Lepisosteus oculatus: one gene and its partner. The protein of the gene in region 1 purifies or fractionates together with the protein of each later gene. This does not show direct contact. Links are inferred from orthologs where the notes say so. Each region holds a gene or a part of one and is shown in the gene's direction. Other genes may lie near its edges. The genes, in order: nkx2.1 and foxa1.

Region 1 (16,573 bases):
TTCACTATTCCTACTGTCACTAGACTGATTGATCGATGTTATGTGATGTTTTCTATCAGGAAATGGGTCTTTTTAAAGCGTCAAAACCTGCAGAATTGAATAGAACTGTTTAATTTAAAAGCAGCAAGTCTTTTTCAACGATATGGCGAATCGAAACAGATTAGTAACTTTACGTTGTCAGCTAAGCCCAGGTGAGACTGTTTTTTTTTTCAGTTTAAAGTGTGAACTTAAAACTCCATTCTTTCTCAGAAAACTTTGGAGATTATGGTGCAATATAATCAATCGATATACTATATCGGTATACTCGATCAGTAAAAGTAACAGCTATACCCAAGTAATTGTGTTATTGACGTAAATCAATTTGCAGTTTTATGTTGCAATACAATTAGTAGACTGAAGATCATTTTCAATTCTGAATAATTTTTCATTTACACCACTAGATGGCAATATCACACAGCAGTTTAATGCGAAATTGTGTAGGTAGGGTATATCATTCAGAAGTACAGTATCTTCGGTACCATGATCATCTTCCTCTTTTTAGTACTTCAGGTTTTTTTATCAACACTCCTAGTGACCATAATAGTATAATTCCCTCTACCAGTAATTATCTGTTAATAAAGAATCTGTAAATCGGTATGTTTATGGTTTTAATATCAAACGTTAAAAAAAGATAGAACAAGGGCGTTCTTCAACGTATTCAGCTGACATGACATGCTATGAGTCGAGCTGCAAGCACAGTCTAATGAAGGTTTTTTTGAAAGACTAGTAATGACCCAGAAACATGGTCTGGACTGCACACTCCGTTTTCCATTACTCTAAACACAGCACAGAATTCGCATAAAAACGTACTCATGGAACCCGTCTATTTGTCCTATATAATTCCTAATTTAGTTCAGTTACCCGTTGCCGGATATTTTTTTCCAAAACAGAATACCGGTTAGGAACGCCATCGTATGGTTTAAAGAGCAGGCGCACCATGTCAGTTGGCTCTGGTGACGATAATTATTTGCGTTCTCGAAATAATACGAAATGACATAATACGCGAATTACGAAGTAAAATCTGTGCTGCAATGCCCGACATAAATATCGGCGTCTAGTACGTCAGTCCGGAACAGTGCCGTCCGTTCATGTAGGCTGGTTTAACATTGTAAAAAATACTGTTGTTCTGAATCAAATTTTTGCAAACGACTACGGTAGAAAATTGAATAGTAATGTTTCTTTCTGAGAAAAGAAAAAGCAGGCACTTAGGTCGGAAAGTTACAACCAAGGTTGATGACCTTAGGAGTTAGATAATCCTAAAGTCTCTCTTTAAAATGCTTCATTTTGAAGAATTAACGGAAAACATCGCCGATAATTAAAGGTAATTGACCGTAATAACCGTGTACCAGTACAGAAAAAGGTCCTGATTTATCTAATTAGGCGATGCTTTTGAAACTCGGTAATTAGTGGAGTAATATATCCCCGCGAAAACATGTCACAGTTCTAATTACCTTTACCTTGCATGCTGTAATTAGGTTTAATTATTGCTCTATGGTACACACCTATAGCAAACGAACACTGAGAAATTAATTTGGCATATACCCTTCCCTCTGGGTTAGTGTACGTACTACATGAGGGCTGGTCTGTACATTTATATTATTTTCTTCAATATGTTGATTCTAAGGGAAGAAGCTGTATATCTCGGTTATTTGAGAGTGTTACTCAGTTGTAGTCTACGTGTGACTGATGTGAATTTGCTCAAATCAGCGCGTTGCAATATTAAATCTTCTTACCGTCTCCTAAGACAATAACTACTGATTTAACTGATTAAGTAGAGTTTAATTCCACGATGATAAGTATTAAGAAAGGCATACATTTTCTGTCGTTTGTCTGCAGCGTAAAGAAAAGCTCAATGGTCAAATGTTGGTATTCCTATACTTTTCAGTGGTAAATTAAACGTTGCTTGCTCCGTAGTAGATCAAATGTATTAATTCAATATTATAATGGTATAGTCGAAACGGTAGGTACATACAATTAGTAAAATGTAGTTACAGTAAATTATAACTATAGTTACTCTTTTCTTTTAAAACCTCAGTAGTTAACATTAAGAAAACGCGAATAAACGGCACAAATGCTTCTTCGACATGTAGGCCAGAGATTTCCAACCCCGAGCACTGATTCAGCACGTTTTTGCTCCAGCGGAGTTGTTAATCACAGGCTAATTTAGTTCAGTTTTCTATTTGTGTTATAGCTGTAAACAGCTCTTACTAGATTATCAATAGGTGATGGACAGGCACAGGCGGGAATGAGATTGTACCAGAGACGTCTACCTACAGTGAGACGGTTTCCTCCCGCAGTTCCAGATGGTTATATTTCAGGCCGCACACCTGGACGAGGGCAGCTCTGAAACTCAGAAATTGGTAGAGGGCTGATGGCAATTGCAAATCACATTTGACCGTTTCTTTTAACAGCTGAAAGCAATTTTATACATCGGAGCCAAATAGAAAACTGAAATCGATTAGGCTGTGATGAATAACTTAACTGTTGAACAAAACCCACACCTGGACCAAAGTTGGGACCCACTCCCAGATATGTGCTTTCAGATCCCTGGATATTATATCCCTGGAGGATATAAGGAAGACTGTTTATTAATTAATATGGAATTATATTTCTGATTATGTATAGAATTCGTGTTATTACTAAAGGACGAGACAAAAGGGTAGGAGGACTAAATGTGAATTTGTGCCTAGGATGATAGTATATTGGACAGCATGGTGGTTAGTATTGCTGTCTACAACACTGGGACGTGGAGTTTGTGTGTTTTCCACTTGCCCGTATGCGTTTCATCATAACATCGCTTTATTAGCCCTATACAATTTCTCGCATTAGGAATTCGCCTTTTTGTATACCCCAGTTTGCTCTCCATGAGAGAGCAGTTGGGGTTAAGACTGCTCAACGGAGTAGGATTCCTCTGGCAGATGCGGTATTTGAACCGGCAACCTTCCGGCCACAGGTGCAAATCCTTAGCCACAGAGCCACAGCTCCGCCCACTTCCTCCTGGTAGGTCGGTTTTCTTACACACAATTTAACGACGTACTGTTTTCGGGGGGAATTGTCCCTGGCGGGAGTCTGTGTGTGTCTGTGGTCGTCCCGTCTAGGTTGTAACCTGCCTCCCTTGCTTGCCGAGATACGCCCTGATGCTCCGCGACCCTGAATTGGATGAAGCGGTTAGAAATTGTATGGAAGACAGTACAATGGCACAGACTTGAGTTGACTTTGTGAATTAAAGAGAACCAACTAATTGCAATATTCTATCAATACACTGACAGAAAGGCAAAATCTTCATCTCTGCAAAACAAACAGCGCAGAGCATATTAAAACTACACTATGTCCCCAGCAGAGGTCGTTATATGTCTTTTAAATGTCCAAAAAATCAAAGTAGCCGTTCTCTGAACCTTCTTAATCTCCTTGTCCTGTAGTTTAAAAATCCTTTTAGGCGTCCATTTACCCGGATCTCAAAATCATCCATACTTACAAAACTTTTTTTTCTGTAAAGCTCTTTTTAACGATTGAAACATTCCAGTCTGCCGTAGTAAAATACACATTTTCATAGTTTTGTTAAAGCAATGATCCCCGTTATCTTAAGTGTCTTTCTATAATAATATCTGTAAATCCCACAATTTCATTGACAAAAACCTGCTCGAACGATGATTGTTTTATACACCATCGACCTGAAATAAACCATCCCTCCAAATGAAAACTTGCCTTTTTTTATTTATGTTTTTAAACATGATCATTTGGTGCGATAGATTCTTCAACCACATGTCACGTTATAAATGACAATTCCGTTACCTTACGGAGAATTTTGTTTCTTGTTTGCTGTCTTAGTTATGTCTTTGAAAAGACCTTAGCAGCATGATTATGATTCTGTAGCTATGCTTAAACGTCTTCTACACATTGGAGGAGAACGACATTAGAGATTTCTCTTTCAAAGTATGCAAAAACATCATAATTTAAATGTTTATACACGTTTATATAAACGTGAGTAATGTTTTTGTTACTGTGTAAGAATGACACGTTCTGTGTTATAGTCCAAGCCTTTGTTTGGCAACAATTTATACAGCAACAATAATAGTGCTTTTTCAAAGTTCATAAGCATATTTTTCATAATCGCACGTAATATCATCTTCCCTCTGGCACGGGACCATTTGTCTTTTTAGTTCAAGAAACGAACGCTTTAAACAATAAAGTACAATGAAAAAATTCCTCCCTCCATCCATCTCGCGAGCTGGTTGAAGCAGAATGACCTCATCGTCTTCTAGCAAGAGTACTAACTGCGCTGTGGGCGGCTGAGGCTGAACGGACAACTTACGTACAGAGACATCAAGCAATCTCTCTCCTCCAAAGAAGTGGAGTCTTAGAATCACTTTTATTGCATTAGTCTCATGCAATAGTATCTACACACTGTGTGTTTGCATGGGAGAGTGAGCAGTAAAGAGCATTCTTAAGATACTCCAGTTACTGCCAAATTTAACGACATCAAGGCTACGTTCTCCAAAGCACAAGGTTTGGAATAGTTTCAGTTAAACCATTTTTGGAGTTCGGTGTTTTAAACTCCATCGAATGTATCATCCACGTTCAGTCAGTGCAGGGCTCTTGCGATTTCTCAGAAATAACCACTAGCTAAGCTTTTGCAATGGTAGAATACATACTTATTCTTAACTCTGAATAAAAACGACCTCTTTCAGTAGAAGGAGTTTTAAATAAAGAATTTTGCGAATCGTGCGACGTAGCAAGATTCTAAAGACAGGCTCGTAATAATCTTTATTTTACATGGCGCCTATCTTTTCATTCCTTGGCTGGTCTCGTATATGAGATATACCGGTTTTTAATACAAACAGTACTGAAACTGTACCTCAAAAGTAAGGCGGGAAACATTGTTCTTAAAATACTATTTTTTTACATTGAAGATTGATTTATATTATCTTCAATTTCCCAGGTTAATTGCTTAACCACTTATTTTAAATAAAATAAATTGCTGTTTGGTATATATATATTGCTCGTGGAGTTTCAGAATGATATTCTCTGGCTTGTTGGAAGTATCTGAAACTACAAAATTCTAAACAGTAGTCCAGTACTAATGAAAGCACGTGTCCACCTCTTGTTCATTATCCAGAGATAAATGTGTACAATATGTATTTACCTGTCGTTTTTGTTTCATATATGGAGCACAATTAAATATCTGTCTTGGTTTGCTTAAATATCGAAAAGCCAATTACTTTTTTTTTAAATCATGATATACTCTAAATATCGTATAGGAAAGACTGGACCTGTGTCATTATGGCATTTGTATTAAGTACCCGATATACCGTTAAGCATAAGCTTGTTCCATAATCGTTACTTATTGCGAGCTTATGTAGAGGTTTTATCATCTATCGATTACACCAAAAATAGAACTATGCACAAGCTACATTAAAAATTAATTTAATTTTAAATGCTTTGACGTTGTTGCCTAATACGCTCTGTTGTTAATGCGAAAAACAACTACAATTTAAATATTCTTTTAATAGTTATACCAGTGTCTTCTAATACAAAATAACGAAATATTGACCGGTATTCATAAAACATTTTGCTCTTACCGATACTATTGCAAAATTTATAAAGATTATAATGAAAAGTAAGATGCTCTAGAGTATAACAGTATGATTCGACTAATGAATGACGTGTTAAGTAATTTTTCACCTTTACTGCTTACAGTATGTGGCCGTCTTAGGCCTTAATGAAAAAAAAAACCCGAAGGTAACAAGGAATTGCATGATAGCATTTAATGAATGTAAGCCATTAAGACAATATTTTAATTACTCTTAATTGTGTGATGAGTGTTTGCACACGCAAGAAATAAGATTCATTGGTATAGTTAGAATTTGGCGACTGACAAGCGCAATGCAAATTTATGTGCAGATGTTTCGGGAATTTCGGATGCTTAGGCCCTTTGCGTTTTCAGGCATACAATAAAGACTCTCCTTCTCATCTGCACCATTTCTCTTCAAAGTGAAAAAGGGCTAATAACGTACCGGCTATATTATGTTAAATTAGTTATGCTTTTTTTGCTTATTTTGTGAAAAGTTACATTTCTTAACAATACTTTCCTAGCCATGAAAATTGTTTCGTTAGCAAAAATCACAAACCGTATTTCAGTGTTGACCAGCATTAGGTTTATAGCAACTAAATGTAGCGCATGCAAAATGTCGAGCATTAATAAAGCAGATACCTTTATTTCCTTTTAAGCAGCCCTGGATGTATTATACTTTTTGATGAATGTGGTAGTAGTCGTAGCGGAATCACTGGTAGTTCGACACGAGTGCTGCTCTTGGTTATTTTCTGTGGATATTTATTTTACTAGAAAAATACGCGAAACTCTGTCGCTATGGGTTTCACATTTTATATTACTGCAAAACTTTACAGGATTTCATATTATTGTAATAATTCTTCTGTATCTCGTGCGTAGCCGAAGCATTGGTATTATTAAATCACCCGAAAACCATTGAAGCCCCTTCTGTCTGTATTTTGAGATGCTTAGTAATCTAGCACGAATAACATTTAACATAGACGACCGAGGGTATCAGTTGACCTTAAAGATGACTAGTTACACTGGGGAATTTCAGTCTAGTCATCAGTAGTGGTGTCATCGGTCCTCCTTAACTCCAACCCAGCCCCCTCCTTTGTGAGAAAAGAATTCAGCACAAAGGTATTGATAATAATCTTTCCTGGAAGAAAATGTTCAGTGTAATTTGACAAAACTAACTGTTCAGATAACGAAAACGGGATAATTAAACTGTCATTCATGTAACCCTGAAATATAACATGCATCGTATCAAATGTTATATAAAGTTTCCATATATTTATAGTATAACATTCAATAAATTATTCGGAATTAAAATGGTGCAGTATTTTCCATACCAAAGTTATTTTTCTGTTTATAGAGTATTTTCTTTAAAGGTCCTCCAGAAGTTATCACGAATCTTTTTCTTTAATGGCAGAGTCTGAATTTGCTGAATTTGCTCGCACACAATGCAGTTCCAGCTGTCAGTGCTTTGAAATGATTACATATAAATGCTATATAATGTTTGCCAAGATCTATATTTACACACCATGTTGACTATGTGAGTTTAGAGCTTAGGTTAAAGCATTTTAAACTCCCTTTTATGTACCAATGTATTCCCCTTCCTATATACACCCAAAAAGTGTTGAAAACGGCACAGCAACAGGAACAATAATCTATTGAGTTAAATCAACACTGTAATGTAATTTTTCCCTAAACGTAGATCTTCCACGCCTCAAGAAATCGTTCCAGTCCTAGAAAAATAAAAATGGTTAGTGTTCGCTGATTTCAACCCAAAACTGCTATACTTATCTTAATAGGTTTATGAGTTTAGGTATCGCGTTTCCTCTGTATTGTTGTTCTCTGTGTTCTTTGCTAGCAATTCTAAATAATCCAGCATTTTATAAACACCCATACACAATATATGCGTTCATTCTCAGTGGGGTATCTAATTTAATTAGTATTGATTTTAACACCTGCAACAGGAGAAAAGTTACACAGAAGTGTTGGAACTTGTATATCTCGCTTTAAATTTCCATTTTCAGCTTCCTCGAGCAGGTGACTGATGTACTGTATATCCTCTCTGGGGTTCCTTGATTGAACTAGTAAAAGTCGTGTTCCATAAGCTTCAGGGATTGCTCCATCGAAGAAAAATTACCCCTCCCTGAACTGAGAACCTGACAACCAATTAACTTATCAATAAATTAGTAGAACCGGGCGAAAACAAAATGCAGTATAACTCGATTTTGCGCTTTTCAACAAAATAATAAGCTCTCTTAAACAACGACTGCGTTAAAGTAAACCTGTATAAAACGATTCCGCAAGTCGCACATCAGGTGAAGTTTAATACCATTTGGCTACGTTGTGGTTAATTATATCAAAACATCGTTGAAACAACCTCCAATTTTTGACGGTAATTCTGATTTTCTTTATACTGGATGCGTAACTGAAATTGATCATGTACTGGATCGTTGCTCTCTTTCCATAAATCATTTTGTATCCTATGATTTAACGTCAAAATTAACAGGTTTCGAAACATCTCAGATTCCAACAGAAACAAATGTTGCTGCCCATTTTCAATGCACAGACAAGACCCGAAAGATTTAAAGAAACCCGCGGGGCTGTCTTTATTTTTCCCTGCTTCCTCGAGCTTCGTGTGCTCGTGGGCTCACCTCTCCCGGAGCACTGAAGTGCTATCACCGCCGGAGGGTTTTACTTCGCTGATGTTAACTCTCATACCGAAACCTTCGTTCTCCTGAGCGGGTTTCTTGGCCGGTGAATGAGGACTTCTGAATTGAAGCAAAGTGATCCTTATGTCCTAATATCAAACATAGTCACAATACGGTCAATCATTTACGCAACCACTTTACCAGGAGATATTTAGGGTTTTTTTTTCCTCCACAGTCGCAAGTGCACTTTTGCATTTCTAAGTACGATCAAGCATAATGCAAACACGGTTTACAAGTGCAATCACTGGATGGCTCTCAGATCCATTAAAAGTCAGGGGTTCAACCGAAGCTTTTGAAATTGTTTCCAGTATTAAGTGGTTTCCCTAAACTCTTAAGTCATTACTCATTTTTATTTATGTATATATAGTGTTTGTGTACTTGTATGCAGATTGATAGAACAGATAAGTTTGATAGATTGATACGAACATACCTAACCAAAAGTCTTGGGCTATGAATCTGGGTACTGGAGATAACGGAAATAATAGTGCTGTATACAGATACATTAAAGTGAATTTTATTCTTAAACCGAGAAATTGGTGAGACAGGAAACCTTCTCTCTATCGATGTCTTCCTCGCCTAACACACTGCAGGTTTTGGATATTCTTGACAATGCAATCCACACGTGTTCGGATCTGTGCTGAATGCAGGAGCTGCGTTTTAAAAGAACGCCATTTGCACAAACTTTCACTTACCACAAACTAAAGTTTACAAAGGATCGGCAACGGAGCATTTAGGCAGCCCGTATCATTTAACATAGCAGAAAACACAACCACATTTCTGACAAGGGGAAAACTTAAAGGTGTTTACCTTGTGATCAGCACGTAAGCTAATTATGCCGGGGAGCGATGTGGATAGGGCTTCTTTGTATTGTTGCCCTGGCTGCTTACGCCCCGCCTCTGGTGGCAGCCTTAAACCTGGCGCCTAGCTAAAACAAACGAAAGAAAGCCCCGAGCCTCCACTCAATCCAATTAAGGCGGACTTCAGCCACTCTCTTACGTGTTCATCCAACAAGATCGACGCTGAGACAGCAGTAACAGGGCTTTGTCAAAAAAAAAGATTGCCTTGCCTTCTAATTTTTCCCCCTCCAGCCACAGAACAATGTCGATGAGTCCCAAGCATACGACTCCTTTCTCTGTTTCCGATATCTTGAGTCCCCTTGAGGAGAGCTACAAGAAAGTAAGTATGGAGGGCAACAATTTAGGGGCTCCCCTGACAGCTTACCGGCAACCGCAGGTCTCTCAGGCGGCTATGCAGCAACACCACATGGGGCACAACGGGACTGTGCCCGCTACCTACCACATGGCTGCCGCGGGGGTGCCCCAGCTTTCTCACACTGCCATGGGGGGCTACTGCAACGGCAACTTGGGCAACATGAGCGAGCTTCCGCCTTACCAGGAGACCATGAGAAACAGCACCTCGGCCACCGGGTGGTACGGAGCCAATCCGGATCCGCGCTTTTCTACAAGTAAGTGGAACTCGAGTCTGACTAATTAATATGGGCAGATGATGGAGAGCACCCAGCGCACACCCGGTCAAACTTCGGGAAGGAACCGCTAATAGTATAAAGAAAACTATTTCAACTCATGATAACATCAAAGTGATAAACTCGTTGTATCTGTGGAATGTCAAAACCGAACAAAATGACCTAAATAAAATAGATGGAATTGCGGGTTTCTCTCAGGGAGGTTTGAATGTGACCATTTTGCGCCATTTACATAGTCAGATTTGGTTTTCAAAATGAATCTCAGGAATACGCACTGAACGATTTGTTATCAGTCATATAACGACTGAATCAGTGTTACTCTTAGGAATTTCAGTATTTTATAGTTTGTGAGTCTTTTCGAAAAATGGAAATTGCACCGAGGTACTTAAATTAACAGAGTTGTCACTGATGTACTTCGGTGTTCTTTGTTATTGTGTGTTCTTTCCGTCGTCTTTCTTGCTTTCATCCCTCAGATTTTTGCTGGGAGTTTTTTCCCTGTATACTAAGGCCTATTGCAGCGTTGAATCACATAAAATAACTTATACATGACTGTTTTTCCATTTTAGTTTAATTGTCAGCCAGTAATATGTAGGACGCTTATATTTAACACACCGTGTCAAATCATTGATTTCAATGATTCGTTTTTTCAAATTTGTATTATGATAATTGTATTATATCCGATTTTCCAAGTATTCCTTACGTACAAGATTTTGTATTGCCCACAGCGAAAAAGCAGCCGCAATAAACCCTACTGACAAACCTCGTTGTTACTTATCATAACCGACGACTTTGTATGTGAATGTTTTTTTTATTATTATTATGCAAAATGGACTTTCTGTAAACTACAGAAAAGGAGAGAGCATAACGTTTTTTTCTAATTTTTCAAACACAGAATATGAACAGTGCAGACGCAGAAGGGGTGACTGAAACAATTTATTTGTGTGGTCTAGTTTGTTTTTTACTATGGAAACCAACGTTACCGTAGTGGTTGCGAACTTTTATTCTCAGAAACGTTTCTAAACTGTGAGGCGTCTTGGGAGAAAGGCATGGCGTTTTTTTTTCTGTTTTCTTATTTGCTAACGCCTTTCTCTTCTCTCCAGTTTCTCGCTTCATGGGGTCATCTTCCGGAATGAATATGAGTGGCATGGGCAGCCTGGGTTCTTTGGCAGACGTCGGCAAGAGCATGGGCCCACTGCAGAGCACTCCGAGGAGAAAGCGGAGGGTGCTGTTTTCTCAAGCCCAGGTTTACGAGCTAGAGAGACGGTTCAAGCAACAGAAATACCTCTCGGCCCCAGAAAGAGAACACTTGGCCAGCATGATCCACCTCACGCCGACTCAGGTCAAAATCTGGTTCCAGAATCACCGGTACAAGATGAAACGACAAGCCAAAGATAAGGTGAGCCAACAACAGATGCAACAAGACTCCAGCTCGTGCCAGCAGCAGCAGCAGTCTCCCAGAAGAGTAGCTGTGCCAGTGTTAGTCAAGGACGGCAAGCCCTGCCAGGGAGGCACAAATACACCGACCACTGCCATCCAGAGTCATCATCAGCAAGGGAGTAACGTTATGACGGTTTCCACTAGCACCACGGCGATGGGACAGCATCAGAGCCAACAAGCAGGCAGCGCCGGCCATTCTCCAGATTTAGTTCAACATTCCGCCAGCCCCTCGTCTCTTCAGAGCCAGGTGTCCGGTTTGTCTCACCTAAACTCTGCTAGTTCTGAATATGGCACCGCTATGCCTTGCTCCGCTCTGTTGTACGGCAGGACCTGGTGACATAACCCCGCCGCAGACTGTTGTGTAAACTCGGACAGCCATTGCTGCAGTTCCAAAGTCTTTTAAAAAAAAGTAAATCCTATTTACTTTCAGTTGGATTTGCAGACGACTAACTGGGTTAAAAAAGGGGGTAACGAGTCAATCAGCAAACTAGAAAGTCCCGTGGAGGTGGGAAGTATTCACATCGCGTTGAATAGGGAAAAGCAATCCCATATTCTTTTATACCAGTTTTAACTATTAGAGCCAACGTGGCCGAGGAAGATGTCATTTAAATACAATTTTGTGTTGGGGAAATAACGAGCGAGTCCATTCCTAAATCAGACGCGTCCTTTGTGTGGGCTATCAAAGACTTTTATAGGGGTAATATAACGTGGCTCCGATTTCTAATAGATTTTAATGTAAAACGTAGCTGTATATTTCTGTAAAAGGTTTGGATTGGATACATAGTTTTTAGTAAACTGTATATTATGTTGTATAAAGTTTTTATCGCCATTGGAAGGTTGCTTGTATTATATTTGAGTTTAACTGTTATTTGACCGCGTACGTTTTATTTTCTTGTAACTTATATAGATATTTGGCATAAATATAGTCATACAAACCTATTAATAAATTATGAAAATAAAATTCATATTCCTTTATTGAACTTGAGCGTAAAGTGGATGTCATTAATGCTCGTTAGAGCACCAGGAAAAAGATACCGCATCAATACACTATTATTAAATGCAATTTATTGGCTGTTCATTCAAATAAAAATTCTGGACAAACATAATAATTTATTTTGACAGCACAGGTGACAAAAATCGAATAATAACTGGCAAGCTGAAATACAAAAATTGCTGCCTTTACCATTGGAAGCTAAAAAATTTTGCGTAGTTGTGGGTTATCGGTGGACTTCTGGAAGAAAATTACTGGCCTTTGGTCTGATAGGACTTAAAAACGCATTTGCCAAAGGTGTGTGCGCGTGTGGGAAAACTAAATATTTGAAAGGGCCCAATGCGGCCGTGGAATGAATTTAATAAATAGTGCAATAGTCCCCCTGTAGTACACGAGCAAAAAGAAAAAAAGTGTATACTCATGTTATTTAAACAGAGCTAGACGTAGGTTTACTATTATAGCTTGCCGTCTAGGGCTGTTCAAAGTCCACAAACAGTAGTGATCATGGATCAGGCTGTAGGGCTCGTCACGAATTCAGATATTATTAAAATGTTGATGTTATGATGGGGATTCGAGTAAATGACAATGGCAATGTCTCTCTTGCGAATGCAGCGTTTAGTTGCTCTTTTGTTCGATTCTGTGAAAGGTTATCGTTAGCATGAAAGAAATTCGGTCCGCCGGTGCCAGCTCGTGTAACGAACTCTTCGGCTATTCCTACGTATTATTTATATATTGTAACGCAACGGGGGCTCAGGTCACCTGCTCTGGTACGCCGGCTCTTACACAGTACCTGTCGGCCGTAAGCGTTACAATATATATATCCGACGTTTAGTTTTTTTTCTCCATCTGGATTATGTATTCTTGATCTGAATTGTTTCTCGATGCAAACTGGTGGCGACGTTAGAGATCAAGTCCCAGGTTTTACTTTTATTTCGTGTTTTCACATCTGCAGTAAAGTGAATCATTCACTCATTACAGTAATTAAAACAATCATTAATTATTTTTCAGAACTACTCGGAACGCCGTGTTTTACCCGCGAAACATTCCAACAGGTTGACCGTTTTTCTTTGCGAGTACAAACCACCTCTATAATAATATTAATGGGTTATTGTGTACACAGTGTCTTATCTTTGTAGTTTTTAGATTAGGTTAGGTAAACTCCTCTCTCGACTTTTTCGTGGTGGCGGCGTCTCTTTAAGTGTGCGTACCTGCGAATCAGTAAAGGTGAGTTCACCGCTCTTTGGTGCAGGAGAGATCAAATAAACACTATTCAAAAGGCATTTACATATCAATCAAATCCCTGTCCAAACAACCGTATAGCCCTTAAACAACCTCATAAACTATTTTTTGTGCGCTATCGGTTGTCTCTTGTTGGCGGAAATGTGGAAGGGTAAAACACTCAATATATTAAGAAACTGAAAGAAGTCTAAATCTCAACACGCAGGTTGAGAATATTGCAAAAATAATTGCACATGAATTCGGTCTCTAATCCACAGACGCATAAGTATAATCTTTAAATCGGCTCAACGATTCTGGGACGTCAGTTTTGTGTGCGCGTAAAGAATTGATTAAAAGCAACCAGCAATAACTTAGCACATACGTATAAACCACAAAACAAGGATAATGAGAAGGAAAAACCCTCTAACGACTTACAGAATCTGAAATTTAATGGGCTGCCTGAAACGAATTTCTGAAGAAGCCGTCAGTGATATTTTGATCGTGAGGTTGAACTGTTGCTATGTTGTCTATCCCTGACGCTTAGAGACTGAGAGTATTGCTTTCAGAAAAAAAATGTAATAAAAATGCATTTTAATTACAGGTTTGCAGTGGAACAATATTTAAATGTGCTTGTAACTATTTTTAAACAGTATACGCGCATTCAAAGAGCTATAATTGATAGGTGTGAATTATTTATGTATTTAATTCATTAGTAAAATTGTACAGCATGGATTTTGTGTACGTAATTTATTTGTGTTTTAATTATGACGTTTTCACTCTTCCACTGCCAAGAAAGATGTAAACACTGGAAATTAACAATAATACAAACTGATTTTTTTATTTGTAAATAATCTTCATGGTTTAAATCATAATCAAAAAGTATTTCTTAAATTTAAAAGTACAGGCGACCTCTTCGTTAAAGTGTACTAACAATTCCTAATTTAATATGAGCAGTTCGTATTTGTTGTCTTGATGTAGAGAAAAAAGCTCAGCTAATCGGAATTATTAACTGGATGAATCGCCCTTGAAAATCGTTTAAACGGAGGCAGCAGCGATGCATTATTTAGAAAGTGTCTAGGGTCTTGAGCTCTCTAATGGTGTTAAAGTATCATTTACTTACTGTGTGGCGTAATTCTGCGAAGCTTAATTGATGCGAGAATGGTTCGAGCTACTTGAGAAACTAAATCGCACATTTAAAATTAAGTGTGAAAGAGATTATTAATGTTATGATTTGGGTTTCACGCTGATATTTGCTTGACACAACTACGTAGTTACTAGTGCGGCAGCTCAGTTCTCACAAGTCCGCGGAATTAACTGCTCAACTCTATGTAAGACGAGAAACGAATTCCATAAATTCTGTCGTTTATGTTGAGCGCCTGATTTATCAGCTAGAAACTGCATGTTTAGTAGAAATTTATCGATATCTACCTAAAGGAAATACAGTAGCTCATGGTTTTTAGATTGTGATTTTATTGAGGTTTTATTTTTTTGCACATTCCAGAAGAAGGCAAATACGTGTTTAAGAAAGGAAACCTTATGAAAGGTTCAAACCGATACCAGTGTGCACTATTGATCACAGAAGTTAACCATAAGTCAAAACACGGTTTTTAATGTATCAACCGAAGGTCCTTTTAGGATTAACTGTAAGAAAATAATTATGATTTTACATACAAGTACATAACACTGTTTAGAAAATCTTTATCATACGTTATTTTATTAACATACACCATTATAATTGTGAAACGTGCATCCACGTTTAGGCTGTATTTGAATAAATAATCATCTGTTTAGAAACAGGGAGCATCATCTACGGTTCGCATATGAAAATTCTGTTCCAGCACTAGACCTGGAGAACAATGAGGCAATATTGTCACGCAATATTTGAAACACAATGTATTTCCTTAAACGTAATATTTAGCCATTCGTTTTACAAAAACATATTTTAAAATACTGCCACGTATATCATATGTCATCCTGTAAAGTCGGAGCAAAGTAAATCTATCGAAATACCCGATTAGGTAATGTTAGACAAGAATCAAAAGTGTTCATGAAGATTAAGGTTCATTTCCGTTGTTATTGACCTAAGTGTTTTCTTTCTGTATCAATTTCAATTGCCTCACATTATTCGCAGCCCTTTTCGGATTTATCAAAAGTGTATGTGTTTATACATATAGATGCAATTTGCGTACCAAATTATCATTGTTCCTATTACAGGCCAGACCAATGAACATTTTAAGAACATTTCAATAGATGTTTAGTTTTAGGAGAGAGCAGGATAGGACTGTCATGACGTTATCATTAGTACAGAAATAGTCAATAAAACGGACGCGTCGTCTTGTAAATTATTTCCTATAGAATTGAAAATCAAGATGTTTGAAATAGTTACTTGAGATACAAACGAGGACGCTGAATTATATGTGGTCCTTAGTCCGCTGTCGAAATTTTGCCAGAATGTCCAACAGAATGTAGGCAATTATTTAATCCCATGGAGCCTGTCGGTGTTACTTCCAGTCACATATGTCCTTTGATATTAAAGTTCAAAATACACTAAAGAAACCTAAAGAAGATGAATCATTTAAGATGACTGTTCATGGATAATGTCGTTACTATGCGCTGCATTGTACAATAGTGGTAAAATAAATTAATATTTTATCTCCACATTAATTGCTCGCTTTTGGTTTAAAATGTCCAATAAATTATAACTAAAGGCTTGCTATGTATTTACGAGTGCGATACGCCGTGTTTATATATACTGTATAACATTCATGTATATTAAATACCAAGTAATGGTGACAAGGGCACGTCATGGCTTTTGATGTTAGTACGATTTCTTTTTTTTTATTCTGTCAATGGCGAGACATAAACGACGATAAAAGAGATGGGGCACTAATTACTTTTTTATTAATTTATCTTTTGTGTCACCGTGGTATCGTGCGATCGGTTGGCGTTTTCTTCGGTATGATTACCTAGCAAATAATGTCAATTACGAAAGTCCCACATCGGAAAGTGGCTCCAGTGAACTGGACTTGGTCACGTCAGAGACTCCGGTCCTTTTTCAGTGACTCCATGGCAGCCTTCCATTGGGATTGAGGGCACACAAGTAGACTCCCGTTTCCATTTCCACCATTATGTTT
Region 2 (16,896 bases), about 18 Mb from region 1:
GATTTCCAAAACAAACCATTTCCATTCTCAAAACAGAGACAATACGCTTTTAAAACATCCCAACAGTCTAAACATTTAAGCATACAACTCACAATGTAAAAGTCATCCTCAGCAGATTAAGAAGCAAAAAGCACTGAAAAGAAACAGTATCCTATTCCTATCTTCTCTATTACAACACGCGGTAATATCATATTCTAAAAGATGTTGACCTGAGCGCCTGTCTTGTTCCAATTGACTTACCTCACATTCACTACCATAGCTGTGGCCAAGCACTCTCTCCATGAGCTCTTTGATCATCTGGTCCGATGCCGAGAGGGAGTCTGTGTTGTTCCCGGACTGCAGAGATGCAAATATTTCATCCACAGTTCTTGCACTGTCCCTAACCAGTGTCTTTGCTGTTAACGTGGACCCTTCTGGCTGTCTCTGCTGGAAGTATTTCTCATTCACTGAGGCATCTGTTCTAGCTATGTCTATAGCCTCCTCCAGCAGCTCTGAAGCAGACCTCACACTATGAGCGTGGCTGGATCCCACGGTGCTTTGCCGGCTCGCAGAGTTTCCATTGTCAACAGATGTTGGCTGCTGATGCCGTGCAGAGGGATGGCTCTCCGTCCCCACTTTCCTCCTCTTCTTTCCAGCCTTTCCTCTGTGTTTCCGGTGACTTTCTGAGCGCACACTTTCGTCAGAGTCTTCGGAGTGAGAATCGTCATTATTTTCACTCTCATCGCTACTGTCAGAGCTCAAGACTTGTGGAACTGTTACACTCGTCCCTCTTCGCTTGTTCCTATGTAGCTGGTTTTTCATTGTAGCTGATCCCAACTCTCCTGCAGCAGGTGTCACCGGAGCACGTACTCTGGTCCGAGTCCCTCGAGTCACTGGTTGTACTGATTTGGGTTTCTGAGGTGGCTCAGGTCGTTTTGACAGTAAAACAATTTTTGTAGTTCCCACTTGTTGAGCAATAGCGGGCTTCAGGGCTGCACTGTTTTGGCTTTTATTTCTAGTATATTTAGACTCTTTCTGGCAGCTTTGCAAACTCATAACAGGTACATGATGATTTGCCTCCTTACTTCCAGCCATATGGTTCTGGACACTTTCCTTCTTCAGTTCTTTTGGAGGTGAGGCAATTGGGGATTTCAAAATGCCTACCTGAATATTGTCTGGGCCAAACAACTTACCAGAAATAATTGTGCTTTTATTTTCAAGGGTACTTTGATGACTGTGAAGTCCCCTGAGAGTTTCAGTGTTTGTCGTATGGGATTGATCTGGTGAGGAATCCAGCAGTACAGTCGGGAAACTCATATTTCGATAAGAATTGCTGATCATCTGCTTGAAATGAAGAAAATCCTGCTGAGACTGCTTGTGTAAGCTCTCAAGCTCCTTTCTCAGCTTCAGTTCTTCACTATGGCTTAGCAGCTTCCTCTGATTTCCTGCCATACTTAAATTGTTTTTTTCTAGCCTTATACCCCTGAAGACACAGAAATATAGAGATTTAGTAGCAGCAGCTGAAGAAGTAGTATTATTAATAGCCATGTGAAAGCATTTGGATTTCATTTTATTTGTTCCTTTATGAGTTACAGTCTACAGCTGTCTAATGCAACTGTTTTCAAGCACTTTATTAAAACATAGTACTTGTTTAATTTGACTACATACATGTGTTTTCTGCACTTGTTTAATGCCTTTCACAGTCTAGCTGAGTTTGTACTGTACTGTATTTCCAGTTGGGTACTTTTTCTGGTACTTATCTACTAATTAATCCTGTAAAATGTTTGTACAGATATATATGTCTATAAATACTTTTTCCCTATAACTATTCTTGAAAACATTTGTCTCAGCAAGTTAACAATTTACTGACAAAAAACAGCAACCAAGACTTTTCCTTTCTTAATGCATAAGAAATATTTAGCTTGGAATTGTATCAAAGAAGCGTTTCTGGAGTTAGAGAAGCAGAGATCTCCCCCACATCTGTCCATTGCATTGCCCAATATTGTGGCTACTGTGGGTGCATCCTCTTCAATTAATCTTTGTTTCCTCTAGTTTGCAGATTCAGAACATGCCGAGCAGCACTGAAATAATCTCCACACGCATATTCATAGATTAATTTAGGGCAAGAAAATCAAAGCAGGTCGTGCTTTGGCAAAAGTTTACATCTTAAGTAAAGTTAAGTAAACATCCATCCATTTTCATCCTATTCAGTGTCGCGGGAGAGCCGGCAAGCACCGGCGCAAAACGGGGATTAAGCAAACATATCTAATCTTATTTTTAGTCCCTATTTTGCGCCAGTCTTAACAACGCAAACTCTGGCTCCGGATCCAAATAAAGCTTGTGCTGGTTTATGATTAAGCTACCTCTTATACTGTTCTATTACTGTAAAATGTTTTTCCGGCATTAGCAGGTACTGTCGCAGGTTCAGAGCTTGCGTGGCTCCTATTCCTTCTTCGGTTTTTTTTTTTTTCGCTCCAGTGCTTGCATCAAAGCAAATTTCTCAGTTTCCTTCAAGAATATTTACAATCCTGTAAAGTACCTTACCTGGACATTGAAAAGCGCAGTACTTTCGGGCAGTAATTCGAAATCGTTAGCTGCTTGCGTCCCCTAAAGTTATGTCTCTCCGCGTACGTCTGTATCGGCATGTATAACTACATTTTATGCCTTTTTCTGTCCAGGAGGCCTGGATGTCTGCGCGCAGTAAACAGAAAGTGCAGCAAGTCTCCTAGCAACCAGACAACTGGCGCTGGCCCACGTGGAAAGGTTTGATTAGTCCGGACTGTCTGAGAACACAGTAGGAGCTCGGACTATGGCCAAAAAAAATGAAGATACGAGGAAAAGACACTGTTTTCTAGATCCCATTAAAATACGCCTTCAGCTCTTTTAAAAAACGAGGGTTCGGTGTATATTACAAAATATTTCCCACTACTGCGTCGGAAACTCTAAATACATCTTACAGGAATTTGCTGTGCGTTTCACGGAATACTACGTTTGAAATTCATCCGACTGTTTTGTTTTTCTCCTCTCTCTGTAGATGATGTAATAATGTAACAAAATAAGAAAACAGATAAATACCAAGATATATAACCTTGGGATATGCTAATCGTGGGCGGTGAAAAAGACCGGTTTAAAATGTAGGCCTTTTTAATAGGGGACAAAGCTCCGATATAAATACCGCCAGAGAGATCGTGACAGTTTCCAGTTTTTCTTAACCTATTTGCTTCAGGTTCCTGTAATCGAATTTATATCTTAATTAATTTAAATGCGAAAACATAAACCTTTCGTCTGGACATTTGTAAAAAAAATAATAACAGAATAATGGACTGGCGTTTTATTTATTTGGAAGACCTGTCCGTGGTGCTGAAAAAGCTCATCAGGTGGATGAGTGTTTGGGACTTGTCTTGTTCTGAAAAAAATAATTCAAATATATAATTTATGCCAGAGATAAATGTTTTTTTAATAAAAAGTTAGAAAAGGCCTACTGCTTCCATTTTGTGTATCGGCTTGATTTCTGCAATACCGGACAGTCGATGATCTTCAAAATCGCGCCACGCCCTGGGCACGCAGGAGGGCTCTGAAAACCCTACCCTAATCTCGTGTTTTATTTATTGAGTCACTCATTTTTAAATTATGCTAATTATCTGGGCATTCATCATAAAGGTCCACATTTCCTGTCACACCACAGCGTGAAAGGCCATGTCACGGGTAACCCCTGTACTAAATGACAAATTAACCGCAAATTTCTTTCTTTTTTTTTTACTGAAGTTCTTGGGCTATACTTAAACCGAACATTTCTCTGTGTCTTTCTAAATATTCAAAAATGTATTCAGACTTCAGCGTGATTAGTTAAATTGGCATTAAAACACCAGATCTATTAAGATTTCACAGCTCTAATATACAGAGGTCATTTATTACTCTATTTAATAGAAATCCAATTTGTTAGCAACGAATAATTATCAGTTTTATTTTTTAAGTTAATGTGTTTTAACAATCCAAGTTTGAAAGAATAAAATCAAGCAACAATATGTACTGGCACGTACACTGCCAATTAAAGGACTTTCCAAAAATTATCGCAAAAAAAAACCGTTTCGATTGGAATCGAGAAAACGTGTTATATTGTCCTGACACCTTTATTTCTCTCTATCGACATTATTGGTAATATATGTGAGTTTTTTAACGAAACATTCACCCATTTTCTCACCGCTTTATCCAATACACGGTCGCGTTTAAGAAGCCACGGAAGGCGATTTCACACGAAGCCCACACTATCTGAGACGCAACCCACTCCGTGCCTCCTACTGAACCAGTGTGGTTACTGGTTGTTACTGAACAGAAACTCCGTTTTTTTATTATTATTAAACCGTTTGCTTCGTTTCTTCCACGTTCCCTTCGAAGTTGCAGAATGATTAATAAAATGCAACATTTACAACGCACTGAAGAGGTCAAGAGGACATCCTGACTACAGTGAACTACATGTAATAAGAGCATAGACCTATTCACATCATTGTTATCATTCCAGACAGAAAACGAGGAGGAGGAGAATTGGGATGAATGGATGTTCTAAACAAGTAAATTCAAAATGCGTGACCTTACAGCAACAATCAAATGTTTTCAAACATTTTTATATGGGATTACAGATGTATTGATGCATTTTTAGACAAGAGTATATTCACACATACGCTAACAAATGACTCGTGTGATTGACCTAAGTACTGCGTTTAGTTAGTCGTTATTTTAACCATAATAAAGAATAAAAATTCGATGTTTAATCTTGACGACAAAATTCGTGAAAGCGGGAATGTGATAATATCATGACTTGCCGTTATTGAGGCTGTTATGTTATGTTCGCCTAATCAATTATGATGGTAAGCCGTACGTTATACAGTACTAAACAAAAAAAAAAACAACACTAAACACAACCGCAACCAAGAAATAACATCAATAAGCACTACCGCCTGTTGCGCTGTCCCAGCCAGTTCAGTTGAAATAAACGTATCGGTAAGTTAAACGAATGGGTTGACTTTGGGCGGGGAATAAACAGTTTGCTAAGTGGAGCTTGGTTTTGTGAAGTTTCAGTACGAAGTTGCCGCCTGGGATTCATATGTAGCAAAGCCCTGAGCCTGTGTTAGGATGTCTCCGTGAATAGCTTGTCTAAGTCAGTGAACCGGTCCTCAAAGCGCTCAGAAACAAACCTCACCTTACGTGCTCTGTTCTGGTCGCATTGCGGTCAAAATATTTCTTCTGTAACACGAAGAACTTTTAAGCGTCTTATTAAGATTTTCAGTGCACACTGCGCTTTCAAACATTGGGCATGCCCACGATAAAACAGTATTGTCCTACTCTGATAACACTTAGAATATTATTTAAACGATTGCCATTAAAATAACCAGATAAAGGTTGCTTGTTAGCTTAATTAGATTTAACACCAGTGTTTTAAAGAGGCCTGGCAGTTTTATTTTTATTCTGTACCAGGGCCCTCCAATGTTTACACTAGGAAATCTAAATATGTATAAGTATTAGCCTAATTTGTTTAACAAAAGCTTGTCTTTAATATTAGAATTAATTAAAAGCGTATTGTGGATTGTCGCACAAAACTATTGTTAAATCCCTTGATTTATATGCTGCGTGAAGTTTTTTTTTACGCATATTAACTTAATTCTGCGGCTCTTGATGCGTTTGTTAAGTCAAGCGCCAGAACCCACGTAGTCGCAAGTCTACGGAACGAACTCGATACCTTAAATTACTTGGTTTCACATACTTTTCAGATGCAGAAGAAACTAGATAAAATAAAACATTCACAACCGTAAGTCTGCGATCATTCAGATAAATAATAGACATGGATAACCTATCAGCCCGATTTTACTTAGTATATGTTATTCTGTTTCTACCAGGCCTATTGCAAAATTAACATCTGCAGCCTGGCTTGTAAATATTTTATTTGTTTTGCTGAAATCGATTCTCCACACTCATACAGTGAGATCATTGGGAGCTAATCCTATCCCGGGTGATAATCACCCTTGTTACTCACACATAAATTGATTTACAGTAGAAAGAGAACCCCGTGTCCTATGTTAAACAGTGTGCGCAAAGCAGGAGATTTGGACTAAGAGAGGTTGCTAACACGACGCCTGTTCCAAGCACACGATGGCCGCCTCCGGTACAGCAGGCTTACTGAGATCGAAAGAACTACAGTTTTCAGCATGAATGAAAACAAAAAAAACATTTGAAATACAAATAAAACGCTGCCTAAAACTCGTATTTAATAAGCGGCCGTAAGAAAACTCTATGTTTAGACTTTATAGGATGTAAGAAGCTAGACGTTTTGAAATCGCTTCATTATGTGAGTATTTAGACATTCCCAAATTCTCTTTCTGTCCGCGGAAGGCCTCTCGGCCCTGCTGTGTCCTAGTCAGAAATGATGCTACACACCTGCAAACCCAAATTGCAGAAATAATTTATTGTTCCTCGATTAACGTATTAACTCATATTTTAAAAGTCGATGATTAATATGTTGTGCGGAGCGATAGTTGTCCATTCAGTTTATAAGGCATTAGATTTTAATATCGAGACTATAAATAGTAAGAAAAAAAAACACTTTTCTGGTGCGTTTTAGATAGATTGTTTTGCTTTAGGAGGCGCTGTTAAGTCTTTAAAACGCTTTGGTTATAATATTGTTTAATGCTTGTTTTACAGTTAACACTATATTAACTTTAAAGACGTCTAGTGATATTTAAAATACATCGTTTTATTTTTTAGTTTAAAAAATGCGTAGTATCGAAAAAGAAGGGTATTCTACCATGCAAAATGACAACTATAAAAATAGAGAAACCTAATAAATTAACTGCTTTAAATTAATATTTGCAATAGGCAGCACTGAGAACTGTATAATGCCTCGCAGTGTACATTTCAGATAACTGTAATAATTAAAAAGCATGAATTGTTCTTTGGATATTAAACGTGGAATTTGATCTTTTTGTCAATGCGGTACTTCCATTTCATTGACGTTCACGTGGCTTTTTGCGGTTTTGCCCTTCTGTATACATGCTTTTAAGTGTAAAACAAAAGAAGCAAACACAAGACCAAGCCTTTTCGGGCACTGGGTATTTAAAAGGTCCCATTTCCAATTCCGAAAACCCCAAAAAACATGGTCGAATAAAGAATTTCCTTGATTAAAAATGAAAACCTCTATCCCACTGTGTGTGTGTGTTAAGCCTACTAAACATTGTATTACGAGTGCTTGCATATTCGCCAGTTATACACTCCCTCATAACAGACTCGAGTCCATTTGTTTTGCTAAAAAATACTTTCTAAATGATATATATCTTTGCCGTCTTGTAATTGTGAAGAAATAGTATTGTCCATTCAATGTAAATTAGCTTCTACTGAAAAGTATTTAATCCTCCCTTGATTGGAGTATGAGGTCTATTCTCTCATTTGATCGTGATAAACAATCCGGCTCCCGGCTCCTTTCGTATTGTTTCGCTGCCCGTCCAAAGTAGTTGATCTAGTTTACAAACTCAAGTCTTGTTTTTCAATGCAATACGAGGGCCGACACCCCCGTCGGAGCAGCAGCGAGCCACACACCGCTGCAGGTGTGCTGGCGGAGCTGTAGGTGTTCCTTTGCGAAGATAAAGACATGGGATCTGGACAAATGAAAAACGAGGTGGGCTGTTCCGCTCCTACGTAACAGCCGAGAGCCAAACTCCTAACTCACACCAGATTCAGCGCTTACCCACTCCTCCACCATCCTGCTGCACAGAGCGGCTATTGAGAACGAACCGCTTGAACGGAATCCTTCTAACTTTTGGTTTGAAGTTTGAATGGTGTCATTTTGCTGCTTTCCTCCATAATGTTGGGTACAGTAAAAATGGAAGGACACGAGACTCCAGACTGGAGCAGCTATTACGCTGAAGCCCAAGAGGTAAGTATTTTTTTTTCTATTTGGAAATAGAAACAAAATTTAATGAGGCTTAGAAAGAAAACCGAGCATCAGTAATGTCAAAAAGAGACAGAACTGAAATGTTCCTCACTAAAATGATTTTTTTTTACTGATCTTTCTTTTTAAACTAGTTTGTTTTCTCCAGTTACACCAAGTAAAAACAATTAGACTCTGGGGTTCCGGGTAAAGTTGTGGGTGTCTGAGCTAAATGAATCATTTTAAAACTTCAGTTTTCACACTGTATATGTGTGCTTTTACTTCAAATCCAGCGTGCCTGAGTTCCAATTCTGTGGAAACGCTTGGTGGCAGCAGTGAGGTCAGATCCTGAACATCACGGATCTCTGAGTGACTTTCTATGGCCCTGAAGACAAGCATTTCTAATTTGTTAACAGACAAGTTATCGAGGAACGTCAACAAATAATAAAAACAGGCTCGCAGCACCGTGGCTATACTTAGTGCGCAATAGGAAGATAATTAACCTTATTTTATCAGCAGAGGAAGCAGTGACACATATATATGCACACACACGATTTCACACAGTTGAAATTCACAGGGATCTAAAAATGAAACAGGCCAAATAAAGCAGAGATTTTATCTTCACTAAATATGTAACGGTTTCAACAACATAATGGAAGAAACAGACCATCAACAAATATAATTTAGCATCTAACTAGCGTTTATGCAAATCCACATCCAGTATTATTCAGATATTCTTATATTAAAATGTCCTAGCATTTGCAATATCTCTCAATGCAATGCTCAGTAAATGTAAATAAATCACCGTAGTTTTTGAATAATTTACCGTGAAACCTTAGGCCATTTTTCATGAGGAGACAGGTAATATTTTTGGAAGACTTATTCAGTAATGAACAAATTACGACAGAGACGTTTTTGTGCTTATTATGTATCCCCACATTTATACATGATATGCAAAACAATTTCAAATGTATTCATTCAGTTCTGTACACTTCTGTTCTTGGTCCTCGCCTCTTTACCCTAGATTGTAATGTATTTCTTTTCATGTAGTTATCAATGTTTTCTGTTCAACACGCCATGTCTGAACAGATAATTTAGAATAAGTGCAGGTTACACAAACAACTTAAGAACTGAGTAATATCTTTAATTCTTAAACGCAATATAACATTAACGTGAAACAAACGAGTTAACCGCACTAGCCTACAGCTGTTTTCCTTAACCTAAAAAATACGAGTTTAAAGACGATTTGGTTATTTTTTTTTAATGGTTCCTGCGGTTTTGAATGTGGGGCTTTATATGTAAAAATATTTGTTTTTCCTTTGCTGTACAGGTCTACTCATCAGTGCCGAACAGCAGCATGAACGCGGGTCTCGGATCCATGAACTCTATGAACACCTACATGGGCATGTCCACCAGCGGGAACATGACTTCGGGCTCGTTCAACATGTCCTACGCCAACACCGGACTCGGAGCCGGGCTGAGCCCCGGCACCATGGCGGGCATGCCCCCGAGTGGCCCCGGCGCCATGAACGGAATGACCAGCGGGGTATCGGCCATGGGCGCTGCTCTCAGCCCGTCGAACATGAACGCGATGCCGGCGCCGCAAGCCTCCATGAACGCGCTCACCCCCTACTCCAGCATGAGCCCAGCCATGAGCCCCATGGCCTACGCTCAGCCCAACCTGAACAGGGCACGGGAAACCAAAACGTTCAGGAGAAGCTACCCGCACGCCAAGCCGCCGTACTCCTACATATCTCTTATAACCATGGCTATTCAGCAGGCGCCGAGCAAGATGCTCACGCTGAGCGAAATTTACCAGTGGATAATGGACCTGTTCCCGTATTACCGGCAGAACCAGCAAAGGTGGCAAAACTCCATACGGCATTCCCTTTCTTTCAACGACTGTTTCGTCAAAGTGGCCAGGTCGCCGGACAAACCGGGCAAAGGGTCCTACTGGGCCCTGCACCCGGATTCTGGAAATATGTTTGAAAACGGCTGCTACCTTCGCAGGCAGAAACGGTTCAAGTGCGAGAAGCGGCTTGGCGGGGGGAAGGGGCCTCAGGACGGCAGGAAGGAGCAGCCCGGGGGCTCCGGCTCGCCTTCGAGCGAGAGCAGTAACGCCAAACCCGGCCCGATGGAGTCGGGCTCCATCTCCAGCTCAAACCAGCCGCCCAGCCCTCACAGTATGGACCACGGCAGCGGCACGGCCGCCGGCGAGCTGAAGCCCGGCGGGGCCCAGGGCCACCCCGCTGTCAGCTCGGCCGGCGCGCTGGCCTCCGTCCCCCTTCCCCCTCACTCGATGGCCCACGAGCCCCAGCTCCACCTCAAGGGCGATCCCCACTATTCCTTCAACCACCCCTTCTCCATCAACAACCTCATGTCCTCTTCGGAGCAGCAGCACAAACTGGACTTAAAAGCGTACGAGCAGGCTCTGCAATACTCTTCCTACGGGTCTGGCATCTCAGCCACTCTGCCGCTGGGCAGTACTTCAATGGGCGGACGAGCCAGCTTGGACCCTTCAGCAATAGAAGCCTCTTACTATCAAGGTGTGTATTCGAGACCTGTCCTTAACACCTCTTAGTCTCAGCTGCTTTATTCCGTACTGGAGAGAGAAAGAAAAACACACTTTTGTTATTGCACACGCCTCGTGCATTTGGACTGTTACTTTATTGTACAAAAAATGTGTATGTGTAAAAAGTATACTGTAAAGGTCTGCCCTTTGAATGATTGTATAACCCAAGTCAGAATCATTGCAGACGCCCTGCAAAGGTGTATTTAAAACTTTTTTGAGCTTGTATCATCCCCCCCCCCCCAGCTGTAGACGGCACCAAAGTTTGTTTACAGCCTTGTTGCAATATGTCCAAATGAAGGTCAGTGAGGTCTCTTGGAAAAGCTGAATGAAAAAAAAAAACAACAATAACAAAAAAGCACACAATCTTTGTGTTTCAGCCTTTCAGGTCATCTGTGTTGTCATTTTTTATGCGTTGGTTGTATAATTTTGTTTCTTTGGCACATATGCGTTTCGAAAAAGTACAATTTTGTGTTAAGAAACTGCATTTCATCCACCGTGGTCAAATGCACAAACTGAAATAAAACCCACATTTCTATATTAAGCAACCCCCCCGTCTTTGTTGTGATATTTTACAATTGACCTTTCTTTTTGTGGGATCATGCATATTCTCGTAAAAAAAACAATATTGTATTTTGTTACAAATATTTACTTTGGTAGATGCCAAAATGTGTTTTAATTTATTGCATGTTCCTTTTAAAAAATAAAATCTATATAACCATTATAATTATTTCACAGTGTCTTGTATGATGTAAATAAAGATCTTATATATATATTTAAGGCATGTAGGTGTTCTCCTTAAATTTTACTCTTAACGCGCCACTTCTGCAATTATTATTATTTTATCCCGACCTGCGTTACAAATAATTGCATATTACACGAAACAATATTATCTCAGTAGTGTTAATAAAACTAGATGTATTTTTATTATATATCCCGGCAGCAAAATTATCCTTTTGGTGGTGATAAACTTGGGGAGGTAAAGTGATAAAAGATTCATGAAATAGGCTTTTGAAAAGAGCGAAAGATCCCCTTTTCACATGTTAATGGACATTACCGCAAAGATAACTGAACAGTAACAGGTCGTGTGCGAGTCCTTCTTATTTCCTGTATTTATCATGATTTAATTGACACCTTTCTTGAAAGCCACGTGAATCGCCGCCAGTGTAATTTTAATCGTTTTCACGGCCGTCAGCGGCGCCGCTGTGATAAAAAGCGGACTATTCCTTTTTTTATGTTTTCAAGAATTGTCGTTTAAACAAAACTTAACCGATCCAAACAAAAATAAAAATTTTCGCCACTGTAAGATTTATTTAAAACAAACACAAAACAAGAAAATGCCGACTGCTTATACAGCTGCAGGGAGAGCTGAAATTGCGCATGGCCTTTTGAAACGGGGGAATCAACAATATCATATTAAGCCAAACCATCATTTTGTTATTTGTAACCTTACATGAAGGGACTTTGAACCTGAACAGATTTTACTTTGATCATGGTATTTTGTGGACACACACTTTGGCTGAGGAACCATGAAATTCGTTTAATTATCTTGTAATTGCCCCCCGATGGGCAAATAAAATGGAGTGAATTGAGTTAGGAAAGCTGTCTAATCTGGAGAAGGGACTGAACACCGTTAAAAACACAGAGTTTGTGTAAAAGCGTATCGTTTATTGTCTTTCTAGTTTCGTACTTTTGTGATAAACGTTTCAATTTTATCAATAAATTGTGTTATTAAAAGGGACATGGGTTGAATTATTTTTAAAATTAGAAGTCAACCGTTCGTTGAGTTTTGATTAAAAAATACACATCATCGGGTAAAGACAAAATCTTGTTTTCCCACGTTTAATGAAATATTTATTTTTCTGGTAAATACGTTTTTTTTTAGAAAACCTGTGTTACCAGAGCATGTCTTTAAAGTTTGAATGTTTGTTACTCACGTTTGAAAACTTATTATGACAAGCATACCTTCTAGCAACACATGTCAGTTACGTGGCGCAACTATTTATTTCATTTTTTGTTACAGATTTTAAGACGTTTTCTAAATTTAACACCTCGTTGTCTGACTCTTGTACCACAAATAAAAAACTCACATAAAATAGCGTGATGTACATACCGCTTCAATGACGCAGTTTTTATTTTAGAATAAAGAGGATAATATATGCATTTAAAACAAAAATTATAGGAAATATTCATGAATAAGCCGTCAAGACATTGTTATGGTTGATTTTTGATAGCAAAGCACTTCATGAATAGCGCAGTCGTTTACGTATCACTTTGCTTGATATTCACGATCGGAAAATTAAAAAAAAATGTCCGACAGGTGAAGTGACACTTTCGGCATTAAATAACCTCAATACGCATCGCAACTCTGAAAGTAGCACCTTACGTGAGATTCCCAACGTCCAGCGTTTTTAACATATTTAAATTGAATTAACTGTTATAAAGGGAAAACGACCATCAACTACAGATGGTTTTCGCCCTGGGATATTTAGGTGTCCGCGTTTTGGGATGTGAACTTTTTAGGCTATGTACAGCATGTCTTTAAAAACCACATTTTCTCCATGTCCACCGTTAAGGACTTTCACAAAAGTTTGCAACAGCAGTTGCTTGAGAGAAGCCGGAGTTTACTCTGCGGACAGAAAATGCGCGAAATTTACTGAGACCCTGATGCCAAAGGGTTTCTCAGCAGCTGCCCTGACTCGCTCTCATCGCTGTTTAGGAAAATACAGGATGAAGACCTTATATCCAGACTCGGCGATGGTTTATTTGTAATTGCTTCTAAATTTAATATCTTAATTCATTACCGCATGCGGGTAGTTTATATCCACTGAATTACATTTATATTATTTCACAAAGCGGAAGTGTGAAATATACTTATTTCATAATTTATTGCAGTATTAAGAATACAACTGATTGCCCCGGGTCTGTGTAGAATAACAGTCGTTCATCAATTAAAGCAGCTAACTGTCGAGATCGCGTCAGATATTTTTTATCTGTTTTGTTTAAATGTCACGGGTAAACCTATTTTTGTGTCTAATTAAAAGCACGCCTATGTTTAATTTTTTTATCAATGGTTCTGTGAAAAATCAGCTGTTCGTTAAATACATGAAAACGTCAAATAAATATTCTAAAGAATAAATTCGATTAGATATGTATTGGTCTTTCATTACATTGAATATCACAGGAAGTGTTTACACCATAAACATTTGCCTTATTTGCTTAACTATTTTATACAACAGCTAAAAATATACACACATTTCATCTTGAATACGATTTTTGGCTGCTAGAAATTGCTAATAACCGACTTTTTCTGTGCCTACACACAGACAAGCGTCACCCTCCCAAGTTTCGTACAGGCAATGTTAATATTTACAATACTCCTAAGTTTAAAGATGCAGAAAGGCTCCTTGGTGTTTCAGAAAAAAAAGAGTTTACTTTTCAGAAATCAATGAAGTTTTTTTTTGTTGATTTCACAATATTCATCGAGATCGATTAGTAATCGCTCAGAAGAGGTAAATAAGACTTGCTGTTTGACGAGTTTGTTGACCAGCAAACGGCAAAGTTAAAAAGGACAAATTTACAAACAATTCTATTAACTGAACCTCCTAAACAGCAAGTGCAATAGGTTGCCGTGAATACTATTATTTCAGCAGGTGTATGTATCTGTACCAAAATGTAAGGAGAACCCCAGTTCCTAATTTAATAATCAGTCTAAGCCTACCATTTAAGCATTTATAGGCAGCAATTTTCACCCATTCTTCGTCGGAAGTGAATAGAGACAAACTTAAATAAATCTCCTGTATGAAGTTTCACAGTTACATAGAAAATACACAAATTCAAGAAGAAACAAACCTGGACACAATGACATATACAGTGAATATATTTTGACGTCCAAATGTATTAGTACAATAATAAAAGATTAATCGGTCTCTCTCGATTTTCCTTGTGAGGCGTAAACAGAAGAGGTGTTTGTATCAGAATTCTCTGAACTTTGGACAAATCAAGTTCCCAAATGCAGGACTGCTGTTTAAACAGACGTAATGCGCATGTTTTTTTTTTCACTTCGCCCTGAATAATATCTCGCCGCATAGTAAACCGCAAGAAGTGAAACTCTGTCCTTATTCAGATTTATTTTTTTAATTATTTAACTTTTAAGGGGAGGGGAAAGGCACGAATTCGAGGTACGTGTGAGTTTTATGATTACTACCATTACCCAGAAAAGTGGGAGCCCTTTGTTTAGAAAGTTATAATTATTTCTGTCCCTCAAACGTTCAGACAATCTAACCCGAAAAACAAATTTAAATAAACGTGTGTTAAATGAACGATTTTGTTGATTTGTTGAAAGGCATATATTGTTTAAAGTTACCTACATTTTCACGAAAAATCTAATATTCTCTCTGACAGTTGCACATATATGGACAGTATAAGATTTTCATAAAATGTTTGTGTACCATTTAAAACTTATTTACCCATATAAAAGCCATTAAATTAAAGGAGAAAACGTGATTCCCCTTCAATATTAATGTTTAACACGCAACGCGAGTGATTAAAAATTGCGTCACCTAACACGATTAAGTAAGTAGAAACGATTATTCGTTTAAGATAAATAATGGAACCTGAACGCTGCACTGAAGATCTAATCCCAGCGCAGGGCTCGGGATACCGAATCTTGGGAATTGCCGAAGACTAATCGATCCGCGAAAAATCTCGGAACAGCTACGGTATCTCATAGATTCAGCTTCAGAAATTCAACACATTAATATCACACAACAGAATAAATGTAAGATACGTATACATCCCCTATCTGTTTAGATGGACAGGCGGACAAATGGTCAACTCTTTGCACGCCTTGAAAAAAGAGGCATATGGATCGCGATGATGATAAGCATCTTCAACGTCTTCAAGGCCACTTGTCTTTTTAATAAGGTGTCTCCCTCCTTCCATTTTGAATTTGTCAATTGTTCTAGGCCAGATTTTATTAATGCGAGACATATGTTACCAGTAGGCAGCGCACAGAAGCTAGACTTCAACGGCTACTTGTTTTCCAACTTAGAAGGCATTTCTCATATCCCCATCAAAAGCCGCGGCTCTTTCTTCAGCCTTATGGACAAAAATTTCGACAACAATGCTGAAACCCTTTTACTTCAAAAGCGGCCATCAGCGAGGCTACCCGTAGACCTTTCTTCTCTATCTTTTCATTCTTAGTTTAAAAAGCCACTACAGGGCCGAGGCGCTTCTAATGCCTTTTGATGGGGATTGAATTCATTATCTCCAATAACACAATTGTGCTTGGCCAACGAAAAGAGCAAAGCCATACCCCTTCAGAATCACAGGCGAAAGAAAGAAGCTTTCAAAGGGTTATGGAGAAGAGGGAGAGAGATCTCTATCCGAAATCAGCTTTAGAAGCAGCTGGTTTTCCATTAAAAATTATACGGAAGAAGTTTATTAGAGCTTTGTGTCTTTCTAATATGCATTGCCTAAATCAGGTTGGTGGTCTCCGTCTTTACTCCGCGCATCGCGTGTTTTGTGTCTTCATTAATCCACTCGCAAAGCTAGAATGAAGCTACAAAACCCAGTCCCAGAAACAGCACGGAGAAAGCAGAAAATAAAAAATGAATATAACAGATTCGTCGACATTAAATAAACTTTTTTTTGGATCAACCTCGAAAAGGAGTCCAGACACAACATTCAAGTAAAATGATCAAAACCACTGAAGTTAGACCCGAAACATTACGCTCATGAAACAGAGGAATAATCCTTTATTTTGCATTTAACAGATTAAAAAACACAATAAAAAAATAAAAAATAATGCTGCTTAACCACATTAGAGAGGCATCATTATGAAACCGGGCGTTTATTTCTTCAACTAATTCACAAATGTATCTTCTTAAATACGTAGGATATTCAAATACTTAAAGGAAAATATATGAAAATATGTATATCATATTTATTTGGAACAACAGAGTTTACTAAAATTTAAAAACACTTCAAAATTGAAGAATAGCCGTTAATATGTTTTAATCAGATCATCATAAAAATGTGACAAAAATGGAGATGCATTTCTTAAAGTGTTAATAAACACGAAGGGTAGAACAGAGGCATTAAAACAACTTGTTTGAAGAGCTGCATTTCCAGGAGTCCAAAACAAATGTGCTGGCAGTGATGTAAAACATCGAAGTCTTAAACGTTAGGAATACAATCACACCATGCAATTTAGTTTAATGAGGTCCAAATGTAACTGTAATCAAACGATTTTGTTATTTTCAATGATTTGTCTCCCTAGCACAATAATAATAATAATCACAGAAGCGAATAGTGATTTTTAAGAAATGGTTGCAATGATCCGGTATCATTTTTTGGAGTTCAGAAAAACTGGTCTGTTTCACAGAACCTCTACAATTGTTGGAGACTGTTTTTCAAGCAGACGTCACAA

The links.
Region 2: the proteins of nkx2.1 (region 1) and foxa1 purify together in Homo sapiens (affinity purification with western blotting; 3 studies listed by BioGRID and IntAct, with this or other methods). This does not show direct contact. The link is inferred for Lepisosteus oculatus from reciprocal best matches to the Homo sapiens genes NKX2-1 and FOXA1.

What each region holds. Positions count from the first base shown.
Region 1 is NC_090703.1:22,232,107-22,248,679, forward strand, and holds nkx2.1 (homeobox protein Nkx-2.1), read left to right. Parts: upstream 1-9,185; 5' UTR 9,186-9,408; coding exon 9,409-9,775; intron 9,776-10,893; coding exon 10,894-11,567; 3' UTR 11,568-12,146; downstream 12,147-16,573. UniProt on the Homo sapiens protein: Transcription factor that binds and activates the promoter of thyroid specific genes such as thyroglobulin, thyroperoxidase, and thyrotropin receptor. Crucial in the maintenance of the thyroid differentiation phenotype.
Region 2 is NC_090703.1:4,613,389-4,630,284, reverse strand, and holds foxa1 (hepatocyte nuclear factor 3-alpha), read left to right. Parts: upstream 1-7,710; 5' UTR 7,711-7,828; coding exon 7,829-7,900; intron 7,901-9,224; coding exon 9,225-10,475; 3' UTR 10,476-11,190; downstream 11,191-16,896. Other genes in the region: uncharacterized protein ttc6, read right to left, coding at 241-1,462, 2,524-2,624. UniProt on the Homo sapiens protein: Transcription factor that is involved in embryonic development, establishment of tissue-specific gene expression and regulation of gene expression in differentiated tissues.